Linked DNA regions of Drosophila melanogaster. Changing the gene in region 2 together with the main gene of any one other region gives a genetic interaction. Each region holds a gene or a part of one and is shown on either strand. Other genes may lie near its edges.

Region 1 (4,408 bases), on a different chromosome or scaffold from region 2:
CCTCGGACTCGCCATCCTGATGTTATAGAGAAAGGAAAGTTGTTTACTCGGTGTTTAAGAATACCTTATCCTGCTGCACCTCACCCGTGGGGTTAGGCTAAATATAAGGATGTCGTCTGGCAAAGAACAAACTTGCATGCTCATTATTTTGCAAAGGGGTAAGATAAACTCCTGATTATAGTCTACACTTCAAGGGCGGAAAAGAAGCAAAGCTGTATCTGCAGTTCCAAGAAATCTGATTGTTCAACTGAATACCGTCTGATTTTGAGAAAAGGGTCACAAGTTCGAAAAAGATTCCGGTTTAGTGAAGTATTTTTTTTTTTTTTATATTTTCTGATTTCTTAGAAATAATAAAATGTTAATTTATGTGTTCAAAAATACCGATTTGACATATTGAGCATATCTGAATTAAAACGTTTTGTAAAATTAAATTGATCAACCCCCGATATTAATTTTTCCCTCTGTGCAGGCGGACGTCAAGGTCTCGCGAACTATTTTTGGGCGGTGGGGCGGCGAAGAAAACAAAAACAAGCGGTAAGCGGAAAGCGACAAAAACGACAAATAAGGCAATGCAAAAGTCTGTTGAAAAATATAGACGTCGCGACGTCTGCGGATTTGCTTGGGTTACACCAAAAGCAGCGCAGCGCAGCACAGCCGATGACGATGATGACGCTGCCTCATACCGCCCACACGCGAACGTTGAACGTCGAAATCCAAAAAGCGTAAGCAACAAGCTGGCGGATGATAAACATTGGGCATGAAAAGCACATCCGAGCACACAAAGGATCATGGCCAAAAGCGGAACACGCACTAAAGAGCCTGCCCGTAATTGGCTCTCCTGGCAGAGTGGGGGTGACCAAAACAAAGCACACACGCATACGCACACGCGAAAACCATCAAGTCTCCTCTCACCGAATTCGAGCAGGAGCCCGCCACACTGGGAGAGCGCTGCACCGTCACCAGCGCCATTTGTTGTTGCCGTGGTCGTGGACGTCGTCGTCGTCGCCGCAGCCGCTCCTCCACCTCCTGCTCCTCCTCCCCCGCCGACGCCTCTTGACCCTCGTGTTCCACCTGGCGCAGATGATGGCGATGCTGCAGCGGTGTCCCTTGCAATCCTCTCCTGCTTCGGCTCCTTCTGCTCCACCTCCTTTTCCCTGTGTGTGAGTGTGCGCGAGAGTGTGTGGTGTGTGTGCAAGTGTTGTGGGCTAAGGCTACAAATGCATTTTCATATCGCTGCCTGCTGGCCGTTGTTTTTGCAGTCGGCTCCGCGACCTCGTCCTGCGATCGTCTTGGTTTCCGCTTTCCGGACACTCTAGCCAGGCGGTTCTCTCTAAGAAACAGCGTGTCCTTACAATTAACGGACACACACAACGCTGCTAAATGGTAAATAGACTACACGAATTTTTCTTAAAAGAAAGACAGTGAGGACGCCATTTCTAATCGATAACACTAGTATCGTCAGGCAATCGTTCTGGCAGGGCTGGCTAACTATCGCAAGCGAAAGCAATGTTCGTGTGGTACACCGAAAAAAGTACTTATTAATGAGAAACGCAGTGATGTTTGTATACTTCTTGATATATCAGTAAAACAGGCTTTAATACATTTTTATGTACTCTTGCCTTTTTGATGATTAAAAATCAAAAAATTAAGTTACATTAAGTTATCATTTATCGAATAACAAGTCAAAGGTAGTCAGAGGTGGTAGCCACTGCACAGCTGTTTAGTGTTGGAAAATAACAACAAGCCGAACAGATGATTGTGAAAATCAGCTGGCCCAAGAACAACATAACAAGCGAATGCTTCCGGCGGTTTGGATCTTTTAAAAGACGCTCAAAATCGAAGAAAATGTCAGCATTCATCGAGGAAACAAAAAGCCTGCTGCCGCGGATCGCCTTCATAGCCTGCGGATGCTTCAGTCCACCCACACCCATGCACCTTCGGATGTTCGGTGAGTTAAACTAGATTGTGAAATTCTGCGGTACATAATCGATAAAATTACGCGGCATGTTTTTGTCAACAGAGATAGCCAAGGACCACTTCGAAATGCAGGGAACCCACAGAGTGGTAGGTGGCATCATCTCGCCCACGCACGACTCATATGGCAAAAAGGGTCTGGCCTCCGCCTTGGACAGATGTGCCATGGTCAAGCTGGCCACCCAGAGCTCCAATTGGATTCGGTTGTCCGATTGGGAGGTGCACCAGAATCAGTGGATGCGCACGCAGGCGGTGCTCCAGCACCACCAGAACTATATCAATAACCACATAAATTCCGGCGGGGGAGGCGGAGATGACGGGGAGAACACACATCTACCCGGATGGCTGCCTCGTGGGTTGCACGACAGTCGGGATCCTGTACATCTGAAGCTACTGTGCGGTGCCGATCTGCTGGAGTCCTTTGCTGTTCCAGGCCTATGGGCAGAGGCCGATGTAAGTCTTGATATATTTGAATAGTACCTTTTTTTATATGATTGTTCCCAGATTGAGGACATTGTGGCTAACCATGGTTTGGTAGTTATCACCCGGGCCGGCTCAAACCCAGGAAAATTCATCTTTGACTCCGACATATTGACCAAGTATCAGGTTAGAGAGACAGTACCTCGACAACATTATTTCTTATTCATTTCCATTCACATTTCAGAGCAACATTACGCTAATCACCAACTGGGTGCCTAATGAGGTGAGCTCCACGTTGATTCGGCGGCTCTTAGGACGCGGCCAGTCGGTCAAGTACCTTCTAGACGATCTGGTGCTGGAGTACATCAAGCGCCAACGATTGTTTAACTTTAAATCGTAGGTGGTCTTCCTGTTACCTCCCCTTAATCCTGCATGTTCACTTACAATTACCCATCTTTCAAACGATACGTACACTGAATGAGGCGCCACCTTAATCCATTTCACACAGCAGAGAACACACTTAACGTGCACCACCAGCAGTCTTTGTATTGTTTCCTTTTATGTCTTAAACTGCAGGCGGGATGCACCGGCTCCGACCGAATGCGACTCTTGACGCGCTTTGCACGTGAAAAAGAAGCCCTCGTCGCCCACACGCTTTCCAACCCACCAGCACCGCAAATCGCACCACTTGCCCCACCAGCACCATAAGCTGTTTGAGCCGTGGCGCCTCTTCATGGAGCGTGAGTGAGCAGAGCAGATCCGAGTTCAAGTTCCTATTTAGCAGTGATTCCTTTAATGCATGTTTATTTTTGCCCAATCTTAGCCCTTGTAAATACCCTTGTTAAATTAGCCATAGTTTTGCGGTGGTCAGTGTGCGTATCATCTACTTACACCGAATTGTTGCCAAAATGTAGTCCCATTAAACAATAACCTTAACTTTGTTGCTATTGTACTGACCATGCCCGCCTAACCCATGGAATGTAGTAAGTATATAACGGATGCGGTGCGTCCCAACCATTTGCTCTTTAACCACGCCTATACGGACAACAACAAGAACGCGAACAGCTACTCTATAGGCGACCAGCTGGAGCAGGACATGGACGAGTCGGACACTCCAAGCCCGCAACTGCAGCATACGCCTACGTCGCGGGTTTTCTGCTGCGGGGAGGTGCCTTTACGTGGATCCAAGGTGCTGCGATCCGGTCCTGGACAAGCGGTGCAGGTCATCACCATGCAGGCAGATGAGAAAGAGGAGGTGGGTATCCTTAACCGCTGTATCCATTGCATTTCATACATAGATGGAATCCAGAGTTTTGCTTTCAAACTTATGTTTAGATCCTTCTAATCAATTCCCCTCTTTCAGAGCCAAGCAAAGAAGCAGAAGATTTCCCAAGTGCAACTTTAGGAAACTGGAAGACGAATCTCACGCGGATTAAGACAGGGGCGCTGGAAGCTATTTGTTGATATTATATAAATATGCAAAATAAACACGTTCGTTACCAAGTTGACGGCTGCCCATGCTTTTGTGGGTCACTTCACGGAGTGGAGGGACAAGGCATTGAACTTCAGGCGACGTGCATTGACATTGCAGTCGTTGCAGGGCTTCGCTTTGGTGTCTGATGTCAGAACTTGTTGATGGTAATATGCCAGTTGCAGGCGAGAGTGGCCACCATTAGTTTAAGCTTAGAGGGACTGCAGTTGCTTGCTTCCCTTGGAAGAGTCCACATCGCGAATGTTCTTCTTCCGTCGCCAGAATGCTAAACCCGCGCCACGCCCTTCGCGCGCTCCGTCCTTTGCGCTTCCAAAGCGTCGGCCTCCTGTCCAGCTAACGCCCTCGCATCAGCACGACCAGTTGCCCTTCCTGCGAAGATCGCGGTTCAGCGCCCTTCCCCATTTCCGCGCCTACGAGGACGAACCGGAGAACCTTTCGCTTTTCATCGCCATCCTGTACGTGGTGGATTTGTTTGGCATCTTCCCATTTGTCACGCTGCCGGCATTGCTGGTGAAACTTGGA
Region 2 (3,287 bases):
CCAAGACTGCTTGCTGCAATAAGTCGCTGGTGGAGCTGGAAAAGGAATTGGGCGATAAGGGCACGTCCGGGGCAAGCGGCAGCACCAGTGGCCAACCGGCGGCCAGCAAATCCGCCTACTCCGTGGTGAATAGGAACGGCTTCCAGGTGAGCATGAATGTGAAGCAGTTCGCCGCCAACGAACTGACCGTCAAGACCATCGATAACTGCATCGTGGTCGAGGGTCAGCACGACGAGAAGGAGGATGGCCACGGGGTGATCTCGCGCCACTTCATCCGCAAGTACATCCTGCCCAAGGGCTATGATCCCAACGAGGTGCACTCGACCCTCTCCTCGGACGGCATTCTGACGGTGAAGGCGCCGCCACCACTTCCAGTCGTCAAAGGCAGCCTGGAACGACAGGAGCGCATCGTAGACATCCAGCAGATATCGCAGCAGCAGAAGGATAAGGATGCGCAGCCGCCAAAGCCGTCAGAGGTAGAGCAGCAGGCGGCAGCTAGTGCCACCACTTCCACTTTAAATCCGACTGCACCCACACCCACTCCTTCGCTCTCGCTCACTCTCGCCGAGAGCAACGGCAACGGTCAGGAAGAGACAGAGATGGAAATGCCGGCTGTTTCGCCCCCCATTTCCAATGAGGCTGCTGCTGCCGCTGCTGTTGCAGTGGAAGCCCCTTCCACCGCAGGAACCACTTCCAGTGCCAACAATGGCGTTGCAGAACCAGAATCAGAGTCCATGGAAGTGGCGTTGGCCAAAAACGAAGAGACTGCCAATGTGGATGAACCCACACCCAATCCCGTTATAAGCATCGAAGAGGAGCAAAAGGCAGAGGATGCAAATGCCAACGAAGTGCCCGTTGCCTCGAATAACGGCAATGGAGCAGTCGCAGCAGCCGAGGATGTGGAAATGCCGCTGGCCAAGAAACCGGAAATCTCCACGGAAGACAGCAAAGAGGAGCAGGCGGAGAAGGTTGATAAAGTAGAGAAAGTGGAGGAGAAGGGCGGCGAGGAACTGGCAGCCGTAGATGCGGCCATTCTACTGGCCAAAAACCAAGGCGAAAATGGAGCCACTGCAGCCAAAACCGAGGAACTGGCCAAGTGAAGACTGAACTAAAAGAAAGAACATAAATAGTAATTAAGAACAAATAATAATCTGCACGGGTAGGCGTGCGTTTTATTCCATACGTGTTTCTTGTGTTTTCTTTTCTTGCATTTCACACAAAAAAAAAGAAGCGAGAAAGCTGACGGGAAAAGCACTCAATTACTAATAGTGGGAGATTGCTGGCGTTATATGTATGTATGATTTTCTAAAAAACATATGTGACAACAACTACAAGTATTCCAGTAAAACTTAAAGACAGAAACACGAAATAATGTACTTAATAAAGAGGAAAACCAGAATAAAAAAAACTGACGTTTTGTTTTGTTTGCCGTTAGCCGGCTGTTTCTTTTGCGCTCTTTCTAGAAAATTGCAACAACTCTCTAGAAACTTCGGCTCTCTCACTCATACAGGCGCACTAGCTCTGCTTTTGCGCGTACGACAACAACTACATTTAAAATTTCTCGAAACTCATGGCATTTATTGGGAAAGGTTAGTTAGTTTTATTTTTTGTTTTTAGAGCAGCATTCAATTTAGACTTTTATAAAAGAAATTTCTAATTTGATCCCTCGTTTATCAAACGATACAAAGCTATATTCATAATTTTTTCTCTCTGTGCACGTTCTCTCTCTTCTCTTCTCTCTCTCTACTCTTTCCTTTTTCTGTCACTTTCCGGACTCTTCTAGAAAAGCTCCAGCGGGTATAAAAGCAGCGTCGCTTGACGAACAGAGCACAGATCGAATTCAAAAATCGAGCAGTGAACAACTCAAAGCAACTTTGCGCAAAAGCAAAACTTCAAACGAGAAAAAAAAGGATTAAAAACCTTTGCTTACAAGTCAAACAAGTTCATTCAACTTAACCAAAGAAAAAATATTTCAATCTCGCAAAAGGAACATAACCTAAAGGAAACGTAAAAATGTCGCTATCTACTCTGCTTTCGCTTGTGGATGAACTCCAGGAGCCCCGCAGCCCCATCTACGAGCTTGGACTGGGATTGCATCCGCATTCCCGCTACGTGCTGCCCCTTGGCACTCAGCAGCGCCGTTCCATCAACGGATGCCCTTGCGCATCGCCGATATGCCCATCGTCGCCCGCCGGCCAGGTTTTGGCTTTGCGGCGCGAGATGGCCAACCGCAACGACATTCACTGGCCGGCAACCGCCCATGTGGGCAAGGATGGATTCCAGGTGTGCATGGACGTCGCCCAGTTCAAGCCCAGTGAGCTCAACGTGAAGGTGGTGGACGACTCCATCTTGGTCGAGGGCAAGCATGAGGAACGCCAGGACGACCATGGTCACATCATGCGCCACTTTGTGCGCCGCTACAAGGTTCCCGATGGCTACAAGGCGGAGCAAGTGGTCTCGCAGCTGTCGTCGGATGGCGTGCTCACCGTCAGTATTCCCAAGCCGCAGGCCGTCGAGGACAAGTCCAAGGAGCGCATCATTCAAATTCAGCAAGTGGGACCCGCTCACCTCAACGTTAAGGCAAATGAAAGCGAGGTGAAGGGCAAGGAGAACGGAGCACCCAACGGCAAGGACAAGTAAAGGAGCCATCATCATCCAACATCATCCATCATCATTCCCCTACTTAATTGTTCCTAATTTATTGCATTGTATTTGTAATGAGCTAAAGACTAGAATACTCATATTAATTTAATAAATCCTTTTGTTCACCTGGTGTGGAAAATTAAAATTGTTGTGACTTTTGTATATGAAAGTTGGTTTTTGAAAGAGGCAAATATTTGGAAATATCGATTTGAAGATTTGAATTGGGCGCGACGAGGTGAAGACCCATTCGTAAACACCAGTGTTTCTACCAAATATTTATTGCGCATTTATTATATCAACTACGGGTACAATTTGTATTTTATTTATGTTTGAATCCAATTTAAATGTTCGGCTGCAATTGCTTGGTGTCCGAAAATAGTTCACCTTGAGTTAGGCGCATTCGATGGTTGGGATTTGGGTTTGGTAAAAACACATTCACTGTTTGCCTTCCTGATTTTTGACACATGGTCCACTATTTCCAGGGCAGGGCCAGCTTTCCGGTTTCATGAACGCGGACCAATCTCTCTCCGGGCGTGTAGTACTTGGCTGGCGGCGGTGGTGGAGCCTTGATGGTGAGGATGCCATCGCTGGATATGTCCGAGATTACCTCATTGGCATTGTATCCGCGGGGCAGAAGGTACTTC

What was found.
Region 1: of Hsp26 (region 2) and Nmnat, changing one suppresses a phenotype caused by changing the other (phenotypic suppression), as found in Drosophila melanogaster (one study listed by BioGRID).

The regions. Positions count from the first base shown.
Region 1 is NT_033777.3:24,943,506-24,947,913, forward strand, and holds Nmnat (nicotinamide mononucleotide adenylyltransferase), read left to right. Parts: upstream 1-1,731; 5' UTR 1,732-1,752; coding exon 1,753-1,948; intron 1,949-2,020; coding exon 2,021-2,427; intron 2,428-2,478; coding exon 2,479-2,580; intron 2,581-2,638; coding exon 2,639-2,790; intron 2,791-2,970; coding exon of another isoform or gene 2,971-3,007; exon of another isoform or gene 3,008-3,328; intron 3,329-3,378; coding exon 3,379-3,649; intron 3,650-3,757; coding exon 3,758-3,799; 3' UTR 3,800-3,895; downstream 3,896-4,408. Other genes in the region: ssh (slingshot), read right to left, coding at 1-16, 85-144; mah (mahogany), read left to right, coding at 4,127-4,408. UniProt on the Drosophila melanogaster protein: Catalyzes the formation of NAD(+) from nicotinamide mononucleotide (NMN) and ATP. Essential for viability.
Region 2 is NT_037436.4:9,375,915-9,379,201, reverse strand, and holds Hsp26 (heat shock protein 26), read left to right. Parts: upstream 1-1,774; 5' UTR 1,775-2,013; coding exon 2,014-2,640; 3' UTR 2,641-2,784; downstream 2,785-3,287. Other genes in the region: Hsp67Ba (heat shock gene 67Ba), read left to right, coding at 1-1,100; CG4461 (uncharacterized protein), read right to left, coding at 3,116-3,287.